Cricetulus griseus: one gene and its partner. The protein of the gene in region 2 purifies or fractionates together with the protein of the main gene of each other region. This does not show direct contact. Links are inferred from orthologs where the notes say so. Each region holds a gene or a part of one and is shown on either strand. Other genes may lie near its edges.

Evidence for each region. Proteins that work in one complex are often made in the same cells at the same time.
Region 1: the proteins of Psme1 (region 2) and Psma7 purify together in Homo sapiens (affinity purification with mass spectrometry; 5 studies listed by BioGRID and IntAct, with this or other methods). This does not show direct contact. The link is inferred for Cricetulus griseus from reciprocal best matches to the Homo sapiens genes PSME1 and PSMA7.

What each region holds. Positions count from the first base shown.
Region 1 is NC_048599.1:1,892,224-1,896,526, reverse strand, and holds the start of Psma7 (proteasome subunit alpha type-7), read right to left. Parts: upstream 2,815-4,303; 5' UTR 2,720-2,814; coding exon 2,624-2,719; intron 1-2,623. Other genes in the region: calcium-responsive transactivator, read left to right, coding at 3,200-3,268.
Region 2 is NW_023276807.1:210,783,150-210,787,449, reverse strand, and holds the start of Psme1 (proteasome activator complex subunit 1), read right to left. Parts: upstream 2,852-4,300; 5' UTR 2,731-2,851; coding exon 2,692-2,730; intron 1,957-2,691; coding exon 1,924-1,956; intron 1,782-1,923; coding exon 1,719-1,781; intron 1,627-1,718; coding exon 1,516-1,626; intron 1,444-1,515; coding exon 1,398-1,443; intron 1,278-1,397; coding exon 1,180-1,277; intron 758-1,179; coding exon 689-757; intron 611-688; coding exon 543-610; intron 436-542; coding exon 381-435; intron 308-380; coding exon 221-307; intron 100-220; coding exon 19-99; 3' UTR 1-18. UniProt on the Homo sapiens protein: Implicated in immunoproteasome assembly and required for efficient antigen processing. The PA28 activator complex enhances the generation of class I binding peptides by altering the cleavage pattern of the proteasome.

The DNA of each region.
Region 1 (4,303 bases), on a different chromosome or scaffold from region 2:
CTTTTAGCTGCTGCAACGTCTCTCCAGCCCCTCCAAACTTAACGTTTTTCGAGACCCTGAACCTGAACTCAGATTGTGCTACACTTGCTGACCAGCAAGCCAATAGCACCCCTCCAGTCTCTGCCTCCTAAGAGCTGGGATGCCATTGTGTGAAGCTGCTTTTAAGAAAATAAAAACAAAGCCGGGCATTGGTGGCGCACGCCTTTAATCCCAGCACTCGGGAGGCAGAGGCAGGTGGATTTCTGTGAGTTCGAGGCCAGCCTGGTCTCCAGAGCAAGTGCCAGGTCAGGCTCCAAAGCTACACAGAGAAACCCTGTCTCGGAAAAACCAAAAAAACATAACAAAAAAAAAGTGGGTAGGTGGATGTTTCGGAATATTTGTTTATGCTGTAAAGAAGTGTCTTTGCCTAAGGCGTTGGCGTTTTCTAATGACTTTAATAAAGAGCTAAATGGCCAATAGCTAGGCAGGAGAGAACAGGAGAGACTTCTGGGCAGAGAGAGAGACTGGAAGAAGGAATCTAGGCACACATGATTTTGTGCAGTACTAAGAGGCAACTGAGCCACGTGGCAGAATGTAGACTAAAAAAATTATATGGGTTAATTAAGTTATGAGAGCTACCTGCGAACAAGCCTAAGATAAGGCCAAGCTTTCATTATTAACAAGTCTCCATGTCCTTTGTGGGCCAGCAATCCCAACTAGAAAGTACTGCTACATTTGTGGGGCACCAAATGATGTCTTTCCATCAGCTTAGGGGTTGGCACATGAATCTACAGGTATTTTAATTATTGTCTACAGCCCCACTGCCCACATTATGCACCCCATTGGCCACACCTCACAGGGCTTCTGCTCCTGCACCCTGGCTCTGTTACAGTCACCATATGTAGGTTTAAATTAAGTTTCCAGTCGGGTGTTGGTGGCCCACGCCTTTAATCCCAGCACTCGGGAGACAGAGGCAGGCGTTTCTCTGTGAGTTCGAGACCAGCCTGGTCTACAAGAGCTAGTTCCAGGACAGCCTCCAAAGCCACAGAGAAACCCTGTCTCAAAAAAGAAAACAAAAAAACAAAAAAAAACAAACAAACAAAAAATGCAACACATAGATTAAGTTTCTATTTATGTATCTATTTATAGGCTGGGATGAAAACCTGCTAGCTCAGGGAGGCTGAGGCACAACTAACTGACCTTGCTTTATGGCAGGATACACCTCAAGAGGGGCATATCTTCCCTCCTCCCAGAACCAAAATGAAGCTCAAACTCTAGTTCTGGCTTTCCCCTTTCCTTACTGTATGTCTTCTGTATCGAAATTGCTTGCTTCTCTATGGCTGGCTCTACCCCCTGATTCAAAGTAAACTTTATCGACAGTCTAGAGTGTCACAGTGTGACCAGGTCTTGATGCTTGTAAGAGCAAGCCCTTCACCAACTTAGTCGTCTCACCAGCCTCACAAGTTTTTGTTGTTGTTCTTTGTTTGTTTTTCCCTGAGACAGGGTTTCTTTGTAGCTTTGGAGCCTATCCAGGAACTCGCTCTGTAGACCACGGTGGTCTCAAAATCACAGAGATCCTCCTGTCTCTGCCTCCAGAACGCTGGGATTAAAGGTGTGCACCACCACTGCACAGCTGTCTCTTGGGGCTGGAGAGAGGGCTCAGGTTTAAGAGGACCCGGGTTCAATTGCCAGCACCAACAAGGCAGTTCCAGTATCTATCCAGTTCCAAGGGATGTGACACCCTCACACAGACATACATGTAGGCACAAACGCCAATGCACATAAAGAGGAGTCAATAACTCATACATACATACATACATACATACATACATACATACATACATACATACATAGAGATTCTCTTCTAGAAGCCCAGGCTGGCTTTGAATTTGAGATTTTCGGGTCTCAACCTTCCCAATGCCGGGATTACAGGCCTGGGCCTCCAAGCCTGCTCACTCTAGTTTTTTGGGGGTGGGTTAAGTCACCAAAAGATTTGGGACTTTACTTTCAAAGCGATTAAATACTCGGGAAATGCAAGCGCTTCGAGTCTCAGAACCACGTGTCTTTCCCAAAGACCCAGTGACTCAGGAAAAAGAAAAACGCAGAACTCTCTCACTGCTGACGCTTGCAGGTGTCGGGCGGTCCCATTTCCAAATGGCGCTAAGGTCCCCGAGCAAATCCCGGGACGCGGCGAGAGGCCCACCGGAACCAGAATACAGCGTCGGTGGAGCAGGCGAACCCGGAAGCAGTCGGTCCCCGTCGCAGGGCCGCCCTTTGTTCACCAACGCCCGTCTGGCCTAGCCGGGAGGTCCCCAAGTCCCCGCCGGCGCCGACTCTCAGCCCCCCACCTCCCGCGCGCACCTGCGGCCTCCGTCGTCCGCGCCGCGCCGCGCCAACAGCACCAAGATGGCCCCGGCCGGGCGCGCGATGCGCTCCCCGTGACGCTCTGCAGCGGGCAAGCCGGCTCTCCAGGGAGCATGGCGCAGTCCCCGCGGCCCGGCTTCCTTCCTAGGTCGCCACCCTTCGGCTCCCGTCACCTCCCGGGCCACCCGCCGCAAGCAGAACGCGGGGGCCCCGCTCCCGGGTCTGCGAGCCCTGCTTCCCCGTGCGCCCTGCCGCGCAGGCCCCGCTCGGGCCGGCTCACCGCAGTGGAGCCCTTCTTGACCGCCTCCTGCGCGTACTCCACTTGGAAGAGGTGGCCGTCGGGCGAGAAGACGGTGATGGCGCGGTCGTAGCTCATCCCGGCGGACGCGCGAGCTAGGGCCGCCGCCGCCGCCGCTCAAAAGCGCACACTCACCGCTTGCGCCCGCCCGCCGGCCGTCTCGGGCCACGCTGCTGGCGTCCGCGGCGTCTGGCGTCAGGGGGACGTGCGGCGCGGCGGGGCGGGGCGCGCGGGCGGAGCGGGCAGGGGCGGGGCGCGGCGGGGCGGGCGCAACCACCGAAGCCCGGCACAGGGGCGGCGCGGCGGCGGCCGGCTGGACGCAGAGCGCAGGCGGCACAGCGGCGGACTCGGCGCGGGGTCCAGTCCCGGAAGGCGGTGGCTTAAGGCGCAGGGACGCGGGAGGCCCGGGCGCGCGTCGGCGGCAGGCGGGCGGGCGAGCCCACGGCACGGCATCCCCCGCGCCCCCGCCCCCGCGCTGCGGAGAATGGGCACCTCGGGCCGCGGGGCGCAGCCGGAGAATAAACCCGAATGATCACGGGCTGAGTCCGCGCCGCCACCATGTCCGTGGCCTTCGCGTCGGCGCGGCCGAGAGGCAAAGGGGAGGTCACACAGCAGACCATCCAGAAGGTGGGCAGGGCCGCGGGGGTGCGGAGCGAGGGTGCGCGCGGGGCGCGAACAAAGCCAGGGCACAGCCGGGCCGCAGGAGCCCTGACGGCGGCCCCGCGCGCCCCCAGGAGAGCCTGCGCCAACTTTGCCGGAGGCGCCGGCAGCGGGGGCCCGGCGGCCGCAGGGGGTGGCCACCCCGGAGCGCGTCGCGCGGTGTCCTCTGAGAGCGCCCCTGTCAGCCGACGCAGCAGTGCGGGACGCCGGGGCCCGCGGCCCCTCCAGCCGGGGCGGGGGCTGGTCGCGCTCCGCTGACAGCCCTGGTGGCGTCGGTCGCGCGCCTCTGCGCGCAGCTTGGCGAATGGAGAAGGGGGCGCGGGCTGCCTGGTGGCGCGCCGCTGCGGCGAGCTGACCGGTGTCGTAGGTATTGCGGTCCCCGGCACAAAGGGACGCATCCAAAGTGTGCGTGCCTTCCCCACGGCCCGCAGCGGGCTCCCGAGCTCGCTGCAGGCGGGTGGACCTGAGGCCAGCGCAGCCCCGCCCCCGCGCGGGTCACTGGGCATCGGCGGGCCCCGCTGCCTGCACCCAGACTTCGGAGATTTCGTCCTGCAGTCTCGGTCCCATCCTTTATTCGGGCTACTGTTTTCCAAAGAAGGCGTTTGCATGGGTTTGGGGACATATTTAACAAAAGCTTTAAGTTTTGACATGAACACTTTAGCATTTTACTGGTTGTCTTTCGGTCTGAACATCTTTCCTACGCTCTGGCTTTTCTCAGTTCGGGTTCCTTCTACAGAATTTCCGAATTCCCTTGAGCCGGTTAGGTCCCCAAGGGCCTTGGCATTTTAGGCCCTCATAACCTGAGGGGCTTGTGGGTATTTACTCAGCTTGTCACCTGTTTCCCAGCTCACCCTTGCTGTATTCCGCCTCTTTGGAATATAATGATTGTCGAAATCAGCAAGCTTTGGTGAGCTTTGGGCAGGAGAGATTATTGGAGCAGAGCAGAAATTCGGATTTTCCAGTGTGGTTTTTGTATTAACCTTTTGAGAGCTGTGGGATGCG
Region 2 (4,300 bases):
CAGAATAAGAGAGGAGGCTCAATAAATCATTCCCTTAGTTTCTCCACGGGGTTTCTTGAGCTTCTCGAAATTCTTTAGGATGATGTCATATAACACAGCCTATAGGAACATGGAGTAGTGGAGGTCAGCCACAGGCCCCCAGTGGTTCTGTGTCCCATTTCTAGCTTTGGAAAGGCTGATCTTGTCATCCTCCCCCCCCCCCGCCCTCTCCCCTCCTCACGTAAGCATTACGGATCTCCATGACCATCAGCCGGATGTCCTGGTACTCTGCCTCATCCAGCTCGTGCACCAGCTGCCGATAATCACCCTGCAGAAACTCAGGGTTAGTCCTGGCTTGAAATGTGTCTTCCCCAGCAAAACCTGACCTGGGCCTCACCTACCACGTGGGGCTGCTTGGCTGCTTTGGTCACCGCATCACCCCTCTCTGAGAAGTACCTGTGGGAAGCAGAAGTAGTCTGTATGGAGTGGGGGGAAAAAGGAAGGAGCCCAGGCCTGTCCCCAAAGGCAGAGTGTGCTAGGGGTGTAGTGGCCAGGCAACTCACTTAGAGATTTGAGTGTGGAAGCCCTCCAGCTTGGTATGAAGGCTGGTCATCAGCTCAAACACCTTCTCCTGGGAAAGAAAGTGGTGAGTTAGAAGGGAGCACGGGTTACACAGGAGGGCTGTAGATTGAGGGGGCAGTGCTCTTACCTGGACAGCCACTCCAAAATTATTTCCATCCTCTATCCGAGGTATCTGTAGTTGCAACCAAGTAGTGACCTTGGAGCAAAGGAAGGTATCAGGGTTTTACCACTGTCTCCTTCCCTCCCCTCCACACACCCTAAGTCCCAGGTTCCTATTCTTCCCTTGACTGCCCACAGTGAACAGGGGAATGCCAGATCCATGTTGAGCCCAAGGCTCAACATCAGGTATTGGGTATTGGGTATTGGGATCAGGTATTGGGATGTCCAATGGAGCCTTCAGATTGCTCAGGTTGGCTTCATTGAGAGCTGGCTCCTAATGGTAGGGCTGGAGATGAGGGTGTTCCTCTTATCTTACCACACCCTCACCCCCAGGCTCCTCTTGAGTACTTGCAAGGGCCCCTTTGGAGCTCCTTTGCTCTTCCCTCTCCTATGTGCAATCACTGTCCTAACTGGCAGACACCAAGAGGACAAAGCCTGAGGGATGAAAGTGAAACTCACCAGATTGAGTTGCTCAATGACATCCTTGATCTCAGGCTTTAGGCGCTGCAGGAGGGCCACGATTTTTTCATTGCAGTTCACTGGGCCACAGGGAGGACCTAGGCAGTGTGCAATGGGTCAGTTAGTGACTGAACTTGGGAGAGCTGGAAAGGGGAGTGTGCACAGTGCAACTCGGAAGTTAGGAGACACAAGCCTGTCTCTTCCCAAGTTTCAAATACCTTTGTCTTCATCTTCCCCTTTTTTCTTCTCATCCTTCTCTTCTTTCTGTGGGGAGGAAGACAGGACTGAGGCTGGTTTTCTCTACTGTTGGCCCACCTCCCAGTCCTCCCAGCTTACCTCCTGTTGTTTCTTCCGCTCCTCCTTCTCTTTCTCCTTGACTGGATCAGGTATTGGGATGTCCAGTGGAGCCTTCAGATTGCTCAGGTTGGCTTCATTGAGAGCTGGCTCCTAATGGTAGGGCTGGAGATGAGGGTGTTCCTCTTATCTTACCACACCCCCACCCCCAGGCTCCTCTTGAGTACTTGCAAGGGCCCCTGTACCTTTAGGAATGCATCCAGCTCTGAGATCTTCTTGGGAAAATAGCTCCCAAGCAGGTTCTCTGTCTGTGTGAGGTGGTGGAGGAGGATGGGGTCATAATCAAACACCCTTTCCTAGGCAGTGAAGTAAGGGCTCACACTGCCCAGCAAGGGAAGGCTGAACAGCAGCAGCTGGTTGGAGGTGGGGTTGCCGATGAGTAGGTCTTACCTTGCTACACAGGTCTTCCCGAAACACATCCACCTGTAGGGTACAGGCAACCCTTCAGATACCTAGCTTTTAAGGCCAGTTCATTTGAGGACAATTCCCTTTGGGTTGTGTAGGGCCTGACCTGGGGAATAGAGTGGATCCCTCTAAGGCCACATTTGAAGAAAGCGAGATGGGTCCCTCTATAGGGTGGCCTGAGGTGTTGTAGTTTTCAGCACACCTGAAACTCTCTGGGGAAGAGTTCAGTGGATCCCCAAGTGGATCACTGGATTTAGGGAGAAGATTCCCGGGGTCACCAGGATTGTGCAAGGAAATAAAAAAGCCCTCTGGCCGGGAGTGGTATCGCATGCCTGCCTTTAATCCCAGCACTAGGGAGGTAAAGTCATGTGGTTCTCTGTGAATTCGAGCCCAGGGCTATATAACAGAGAGACCCTGTCTTAAAACACTCAGCCTGTGGGCAGAGGCAGGGTGCAGGCGTGTGCCCTTCCTGAGTCAAAGAGCTCGAGGTGGCCGGGGTAAGTCCCTCTCTCCGTCTGTGTGTAGCCCGGGCCGCAAGCCAGCAGACTTCACACTAGCCCTCGGCTTCATTTCACCCCACTGAACCACAGCCGCCTCACCTACCCCCAGTGAAGCAGGTGCTTCTGGCAGCAGGCTTAGGGAGCAGACCCCCGACTCAAATGCAGGACTAGGAGCGGATCCCCGGAATCCGGGTCCGCTCCGAGCCACGCCTCTCTAATGCCTCTTCGAGCCACTCGGACCCGCAGCGCTCACCTTGGCTTGGGCTTCAGGATGGACCCTCAGGGTGGCCATGGTCGGAGCGGGGGGGGGGGTGGCTGAGCGCCGCACGAGGAGCCTGGAGTGGGCAGCGGGAAGGGAAAGCGAAAGCAGAGCTCGGAACCTGCACGGCCTTCCTGGGTTTGGGGAGTGGAGGGACTGCAGGAGGCGGGGACAGCCTACTGAGAGGCGGGGGCTCCCCCGGCAGCCCGAGTAGCGTTTCCGCCCAGCGCTCGGGTCTCTCCCCTCGCCTGCCAGGCCCGCCTCCCAAAGCCCGCCTGCCAGCGCCCGTACCTCTGCCCCTTCCCACCCCGCCTTCCATTTCCGGGCACCCCCTACTTCTGCTAGGGCCAGGGCAATAATAAGCCTTACTTGGGGGTTTTAAATCTTTTCTGATTTGGAGCAAGACCTGGTCTTTCTTCTCCATGCCGGCGTGGTCCCCTGACTTAAGCATACTCCAGGCCCAGCACCGAGAGCTGGCACTATCCTTATCCAAGCTCCGCACAAAGCCATTGTGGCACACTCTGTTGCCCTGTGGATCATTCCCCCACAGCAGGGATTCAGGCCTGTATGATAAAATCCAAAGACCTTTCTTTCATAATCACCTGCCCCCTCCAAGTTGACGGTCTATTGCTTTCCAGACTCATCCATTACACAAGAAAATGCTTGTAGCTACTTAGTGTTTATTCCGACTTCAAGGACTCTGCCCTTGGGAAACCTACAACACTCTTCCCTCAATGTCCGCACTCAGTTCGGATGTCAATTTTTCAGAGAGAATTTTCCACCATCCTTCAGAAAGTACCTCCCTTGCCCAGTTTATTACCTCATCCTGTTTCAGTGCCTCCTCAGCACCTGTGACTGTGACATGAGGCACTTTTCCTTTAACCAGGGGCAGACAAACTTTCTGTCAGGGGTTGGTGATAGCTATTTAGGTTTGGGAAGTGGTACCATGTCTGTAGCATCTCAACTATACTACTTCGAGAGGCAAGCAGCCCACAAAATAAATTCCTGTGGGTGAGTTTCAATAAAACAACTTGTTTCATGTAATTTTCACACTCAAGAAATACTTTTACCTTTTAAGTGTTGAACAAAAAAGCCAGGCTTGGGTGGGGCAGGGGTGTCGCAGGCCTTTAATCCCAGTACTCGGGAGGCAAAGGCAGACGTATCTCTGAGTTCGAGGCCATCTGGGTCTGCAGAGCAAATACCAGGACAGACTCCAAAGCTACATAGAGCAACCCTGTCTCTAAAAACCACACACACACACCCACCCACACACACACACACACACAGAGAGAGAGACAGAGACAGAGACAGAGACAGACAGAGAGACAGAGATGAGAGAGAGGGCCAGGTTTGGAGCTGGGCAGTAGTGGCACATGCCTTTAATCCCAGCACTGGGGAGGCAGAGGCAGGCGGATCTCTGAGTTCGAGGCCAGCCTGGTCTACAGAGCGAATTCCAGGACAGCCAGGGCTACACAGAGAAACCCTGTGTCGAAAAACAAAAATTTCTGGAGATTGGGAGGTGGCTCAGTGGTTAAGAGAACTGGCTGCTCTTCCAGAGGTCCTCTAATCAGTTCTCAGTACCCACATGGCAGCTCACAACTGC